2 linked regions of the Ovis aries genome follow. Each later gene encodes a partner of the first gene's protein in a complex. Links are inferred from orthologs where the notes say so. Each region holds a gene or a part of one and is shown in the gene's direction. Other genes may lie near its edges.

Region 1 (4,235 bases):
AGGAATCTGTGTGTGTGTATGGAAATCAGTGAAAACAAAAGACAGGATAGGCAGGTGAGGGGAAAAAAGGGAAGGGGAGAAAAGAAAGAGGAAGAGGTTGCTTCCATACATTTGATCTCAGTAGAAAGCACGACACTATCATCCCTCACATGGACGGCTACACACTCCTCCTAACTCTTCTTCCTGCTACTCATTTGCTGCCACCTCCTGCCTTCAACCTAGTCTTCATAGAATAGTCTGAAGACTCTTAAAGATAAATCTGACCATGTCACTTATCAGCTGAACATATCCAGAGGCTTCTCATTGCAGTCAGAATGAAATCCAAACACTGTTTCCTTGTGTGCACAGCCCTACGGTGCAGGGACCCTGCCCAGCTGTGGCCTCACCTCACACCATGTTCCATGCTGCCCACTAGGTCTGAGCCACACTGGCTCACCCACAGTTTCCGTTCCTCAGGTTCACCTCTGCCTCAGGGGCTGTACTTGCTGTTTTCTCTGCCTGGAATGCTCTTCCCTCTAATACTCATATTGTCTGGCTTCTTCGCACTCAAATCAGCTTAAATGTCACCCTCTCAGAGAGGTCTTCATCGAGTTCCCCCTCTGATAGATCTTCTCCACTCTTCTCTTCCAACACCACTTGTTTTGCCTGAAGAGTCTTTATCTCATCATTTTACATTCTTCTCTGTGGCTATTTGTTTATATTTTATTCATCTGTATTCTCTTCCAGAATATAAGCTGTAAGAGAACAGGGACTTTATCTGTCTTGATTAAATTGTTTATCTCTGTAACACTGAGCATTTCACAGTGTGTAAAGTCAACAAATATTTTTGAATGAGTGGGAAAAAAAGTTTGTGTTTTCGCTATAATATACCCTATGCCTACAGTTGTCAACATTCACAGTGTATAAATTTCACTTACCAGCTAGGGGATGTTCGGTGATTCTGAATGGCAAACATGAAATTAACATGATAAAAGTCAGTTATTCATGTATCCTGAAGTATTTTATTTATTTATTTGGTTAATTTGATACCAAGGAAAGATCTCAGACAAATTTCATGTATATTTAAGGATTTTGAAATATTAGGAGAGAATAATGTATAATTTTCTGGAGGAATCATTTAAAAAAACCCTGTTTTTCAACATATGCATTTTGACACAAGATGCTTTAGTGCTATAATCTTCATAATTAAAATTAATTAATTAAAACATTCTATTTTCTCTTCCAGGGTTTCTTTGTGTCTATCATCTACTGCTATTGCAATGGAGAGGTAAGTTTGAAGGAACCCCAGACCTCCTGTAGGTCTAACTCTGAGTATAAATTGCTATCACAATATGACCTGAATCTCTTTAGAATCTCCAGGGGTTACAGGAAAGAATGGGCAGGGAGAAAGAAGATATTTTCATCATAAATTATTTTGAGAAACCAAGAATTGATGTAAATAAGCCAAGGTCTTCCTCTTCCAGCACTTTTCAATGTCAGTTCAGTTGCAGACCTTGATGTCAGAAATCCAATTTGTTGGAATGCAGATTGATACTTGGAAGGACAGTGAACATCATATTCCAGTCAGTGCTTCAACTTACATTTAATTTCAAGTTCTGTAAGAAAATCAAATATAACTCTCTGGGAATAACCCATTAGAACATTGTGACATTTTTAAAACTACCTGATGGTGATGGGACAATTTCAGTTCATTTAGGAATTGCCTGGAGAGAAAGAATGGTACCAATCTTCTAGGTGACGTCAGCTTATCAGGTTTCTACTGCTTCCCATGGAACTCTCAAAAAGCTCCCTTCTGGAAAGTTGCAGTAGCAGAATGCAATCTTCAACAGCAAGAATGGAAACAAGAGCCCTACCCTGCTAAGAATGCCCTTGCAGTGCCCACTTTTCATAGTCCAGTCCTCCTCCCGGTTGCTCTCCTTCATTATGCTTGTGCAGAGTGATAGGTTTACAGTTCCATTCACAGATAAGCAGCTTCCATGCCCTTCCACAGCCTCAGCTGGCACTATGTATCCATATTGTTCCTCCAGCCCAGATCCCTTTTTCTCCCTCTCCCATGAGCCATTTATACTGGCTGCATTTCAACTTCTATTAAAGCACTAACCTTGGACAAATCTTTTTGCTTCTCTCTAAACCTCAGTTTGCTCATCTCCAGTAATAACACCTCTCAGGAAGAGGTTGAGAGAATACAGAGTTGAAAATATACATTTTCACTATATATGCACTACAGTACCACACATCTGGGGTTGGTTGAGTCCACCCATGTGAAACTCTAGATATAGGCTAACTGAGAATTCATAGGGAATTTTTCAGCTGCAGGTGGTGGGCACCCCTCATCCCTGTGTTGTTGAAGTGTCAACTGTATATGTAAAGTCCCTGGTATACAGTGGAAATTTAGTGATTATTACTATCAATGAAGTCAGGGCACATATCCATCCAATAAGGTTGCAGGGCCTCTGAAGGTTTTTGATGCATGAAATGGTCCTTGTGGCGTTTAGGTTCAGTCTGAGGTGAAGAAGTTGTGGAGTCGGTGGAATCTCTCCGCGGACTGGAAAAGGACGCCCCCGTGCGGCGGCCACAGATACGGCTCCGTGCTCACCACGTTGACGCACAGCACCAGCAGTCAGTCGCAGATGGCGGCCAGCACGCGCGTGGTGCTCATCTCAGGCAAAGCAGCCAAACAAGCCAGCCGACAGCCCGACAGCCACGTGACTTTACCTGGCTACGTCTGGAGTAACTCGGAGCAGGACTGCCTACCACAATTGATCCATGAAGAGACCAAGGAAAGTGGCGGGAGGCAGGGAGATGAGATTCTAATGGAGGAGTCTTCCAGGCCATTAGAATTTAACACAGGTCTGGAAGGAACCCAAGGAGAAACCGAGGATGCTCTGTGAATCCATATCTGTGTCTTTGAAGAGCTGGTTCATCTCGTTGTGTCAAAGGAGCTAGGCCTGTGAGCAGGCAGGGCTCCGGTGTTCACAGCCCATTTTCAGGCGCCAAGAATTGACTCCTGTAAATACTAAAGCCACAAAAGGAGAAAGTCAGTGGAGCAGTTTATTACCTTATTTTGGCATCAAATTCTTTTCGAATTGATGTGCAGTACTTGCTCTGTGATGTTCATTCTTCTGCTCTTTTTGGGTAGAGAAACATTTCAGTTGCTTGGTTCTAGTTTTCTCTTGTAAATATCACTGTAAATATGATCAAGATCATTTGGTGTGTGACATTTGCCTTTAAACAAATCAGTATTCTCTTTTCCACTTTAAGGGACTTCTATCATTCCATTCATTTTGTCTGTGCATAGGAACAATTAGGGTCTAAAAATGTACATTGAAAGATTAAAGAGTGCAGAACAAGTACACACTGGAAGATAAATTGTCTGGATTTTGTTAAAATAATAAATGTGTGAGAAACTTGTTTCATTCTAGGAAAAAGGGAAATTATTCAAAAAAGAATATTGCACATATTCCTCCTTTTGAATGTCCCCTCTGTGACCAGCCAAATCTCAAGTCTTCACTCTCTTGTAAGCCTTAACACAAGGTTTTCTTGGTCAGTGAGCTTATGTCTGCAAACAGATTTTGTTTGTAATCATTTATAGTGATGGTCACACTGAATTTATTAGTTTTTCTTTGTTTTATTACTGTATTCCCAATGGCATGTGGGATAAATTAAAGTTTGTTTTAAAAATACATTTTGAGTCACTTTTTAAAATGTTCTCTTAGCATCTAACTTTGTTTACAGGAATCAGTCAAATGTCCCTTCTTCAAACCTACAGAGATCAGCATGTAGCCCCAGAACTTCACTGAGCTTGACAAGTCAGTATATTGTAGCAGTGAGATATTTATTGTGTGCATGTTGGGTACACATATCCTGCTAGGTTTTTACACACATTAACCTATTTAATCCTCACCACAAAGTTTATGGAGTAAATCTTATTGCTGTCCTGCTTTTTACAAATGACTGTGACTCATGGAAGTAGATTGACTTGCCCAAAGTCACACAACTAGTGATTGAGAGAACATGGTTTCAGACCCAGATCTACTGACTTTAAGCATCTTTTTCTGTCCCTGTTGACCATCTGCATATCTTCTTTGGAGAAATGTTGGTTTAGGTCCTCTGCCCATTTTTTTTGATTGATTGTTTATTTTCTGATACTGAGCTGTCTGAGCTATTTGCATATTTTAGAAATTAATCCCTTGTTGGTCAAATCCTTCACAAATATTTTTCCCCATTCTGTAGGT
Region 2 (2,527 bases), on another chromosome or scaffold:
GGGAGTCCCCCCCCCCCCAAAGACCTCTCCCCTCAGATCCAGGAATCCAGGTTCCCAGACCCAGGCCTTGTTCCCCTCCTCTGGGGAACTAGGAGTCTCAGTTCCCATGTCCTGTCAATCAGAGACCCAGATTGCTGCTGCCTTTTGGGACTTCCCAACCTTTGCCTACCATCCCATCGTGAAGAGCTCACCCTGTTAAAAGCCAGTACTGAGGGGTGGGCCTTATCGTCACAGCACCCCCAAATTCCTCCCCGGGAAGGGCTCGGACACTTCAGGGTAGTCAGGGTCCTTGTCTGTCTTTTCCCCTTCTGTGCAGTGTCGCTAAGACTTTCCTGATTTTGCCTGTCTATACTTGCCTTCACATCCCACCACCACCCATTCCCTTTGCCTTCTCTTTCCTACCCCTGTCTCCCACCTCTCAGTCTTTCTGGTCTCTGCCTGCCTGGACTTGTCTCTGGATCTCTCTGCCCAGGCTGGCTGGCTGTCCTTCCATCTCCTTCTGTCTTTCCGAGTGCCGTTCCCTTGATCCTCCATCTCATAGCTGCTCTCTTGGTCCCTTTCCCCTCTCTTTTCTCTCTTCCTTCCCTTTTCCTTACGTCCTCTGTTGCTCCCATTCTCCCTCTCTTTCCTCTTCTCTGTCAGTCTTTGTCCTTCCCTCCCATGGTTGCTTCATCTCTTTGTGTCTCTGCATCTCCCCATCGGTCCCTCCTCTGTTCCTTCCCCTGTCTCTCTTTCTCTGTGTCTCTGGCTTCTGCTCTGATGGTCCTTCCGCCTGTCTCTATTTTTATCCCTCTGACACACCCCCTGTGTCCACTTCTCTGTCTGTCTGTCTCTCCCCCTCCCGATTCTCCTCAGGTCCCAGCTCTTGGTCCCAATTAGTGGGTGGCCGACAAGGCAGCCGCTGGCCCCCCACCCCCGGCTCCTCATTACCGCTGGCAGCTCCTAATGAGCCTGGGGTGGGGGTGACCCGGTGCCCCCGGCCCCCTGGTCTGCGTCACTGGCCGCTGCGGGGGCTGTGGAGGCGATATAAGGGGGCTGCCAGCCTCGCTGCCGGGAGCCCACTGCGCGGTAGGGCACCCTGCAAATTGGCTTTGGGGGTGGGTGGGTGGATGACGGGGTCTGGTTTCTGGGCCCAGACGCGGGCATCACTGAGCTCTTCTTGTCTCCCCGCAGGTGATGGAGGCCCGCCAGGTACCCAGGAGCCCCCGGGTGCGGCTGGTGCTGCTGCTCCTGCTTCTCGTGTCCTGGGGCCACCGCACGGCCTCAGGAGTCGCCCTGCCTCCCGCGGAGGTCTTCAGGTGAGCTGGACATCCAAGTCTCCCAGGGAAGGGTGGGGACTCGGATAGGTGGAAAGAGACCCAAAGAGAATGGGGAACAAAGACTCAGAAAGGGGAAATAGAGACCCAGAGAGGACAGAGGTGGGAGGTTAACAGGTAGGTAATCTGCAAAACAAAGAGATACAAGAGAATTCTGAGAAAGGCTTTGAGAGACTTGAAAGGAGTCGAAGCAGGAACGAGTTTGTTCCTTGAGCAACGTTTATTGGGTCTTTGGTGTGTGCCACGCGTGCGCCGAGCGCTGGGGCCGGACAGGGGCATCAGACTCGGTCTCTGTACTCAGGAGGCTCGGAACCTGGTGAAAACTGAGCCGAAGACCCACACAGAGCAAGAGACGGGGACAGAGACCGAGTCCCTTCGCAGCTGGTGCAGTCACAGGGCTTCGAGTTAGACCGCGGGGAGAACAGGCGGCGGGCCGCGGGCCGGGACCCACAGTAACCGCCTCTTTCCATCTCCCGGCAGACTCCACACCCCCGGCGGGGCTCGGGAGGGTCCGGCCGCTCCGCAGTCGCGGCGGAGCCTGGCGCTGGCGGACGACGCGGCCTTCCGGGAGCGCGCGCGGCTGCTGGCCGCCCTCGAGCGCCGCCACTGGCTGAACTCGTACATGCACAAGCTGCTGGTGCTGGACGCGCCCTGAGCGCCTGCTCGCCCCACCTCAATAAAGACCCTGCTGTGCCTCCCGACTGCGCCTCCTTCCTGCGCCTCGTGTGCGTGTGGTGGTGGTGGGGTGTGTGTGTGTGTGTGTGTGTGTGTGTGTGTGTGTACACGTGCAGGGGGCGGGCCCTGCGTCCGCTACGCTGACGTCTACCCCTCCGTCCCCTCTGTTCTCATCTTTCCCTCCACTCATTCTTTCTCCCCTCTGCCCCACCTCCTCTACACTACTGCCCCAGCTCTGCCCCTTGCTCCCACTCTGTGCCTTTGTCCCTCTCCACTCGCATACCTGCTCCCAACCCACCCTGAATCTCCATCCTCCCCTCTTCTCTCACTCTCTGTAACCTCCCTGGTCTCTGTCCCCCTCTGGGTCACTGGCCCTTCTCTGGATCTCTATAGCTCACTGGGTATCTGTCCTCCTCTCTCGGAGTCTCTATAATTCTCTTCCTTCCTCCTGGCTTCCCGGCCCTCTGGGGATTCTTCGTCTCCTTTATTCTTCTTTATGCCTAAAACTCTTCCTTTTCCTGAAAAATAAGGAATGC

Evidence for each region.
Region 2: the proteins of PTH2R (region 1) and PTH2 are in contact, whole or in part, in a cryo-EM structure (PDB 7F16), measured with the Homo sapiens proteins. The link is inferred for Ovis aries from reciprocal best matches to the Homo sapiens genes PTH2R and PTH2. Residues at the interface, in NP_005039.1 of Homo sapiens: Thr31, Ile32, Ile34, Gln37, Ile38, Asp68, Gly69, Leu70, Ile90, Tyr91, Asp92, Phe93, Met112, Lys117, Ala120, Tyr122, Leu126, Gln130, Pro131, Ser134, Lys137, Gln138, Phe141, Glu142, Tyr152, Arg190, Ile194, Lys197, Val201, Ile205; in NP_848544.1 of Homo sapiens: Ser62, Leu63, Ala64, Leu65, Ala66, Asp67, Asp68, Ala69, Ala70, Phe71, Arg72, Glu73, Arg74, Ala75, Arg76, Leu77, Ala79, Ala80, Leu81, Glu82, Arg83, Arg84, Trp86, Leu87, Tyr90, Met91, Lys93, Leu94, Leu95.

The regions. Positions count from the first base shown.
Region 1 is NC_056055.1:210,573,752-210,577,986, forward strand, and holds the end of PTH2R (parathyroid hormone 2 receptor), read left to right. Parts: intron 1-1,225; coding exon 1,226-1,267; intron 1,268-2,495; coding exon 2,496-2,891; 3' UTR 2,892-3,683; downstream 3,684-4,235. UniProt on the Homo sapiens protein: This is a specific receptor for parathyroid hormone. The activity of this receptor is mediated by G proteins which activate adenylyl cyclase. PTH2R may be responsible for PTH effects in a number of physiological systems.
Region 2 is NC_056067.1:55,618,276-55,620,802, reverse strand, and holds PTH2 (tuberoinfundibular peptide of 39 residues), read left to right. Parts: upstream 1-1,176; coding exon 1,177-1,298; intron 1,299-1,796; coding exon 1,797-1,971; 3' UTR 1,972-2,009; downstream 2,010-2,527. UniProt on the Homo sapiens protein: Plays a role as a potent and selective agonist of PTH2R resulting in adenyl cyclase activation and intracellular calcium levels elevation. Induces protein kinase C beta activation, recruitment of beta-arrestin and PTH2R internalization.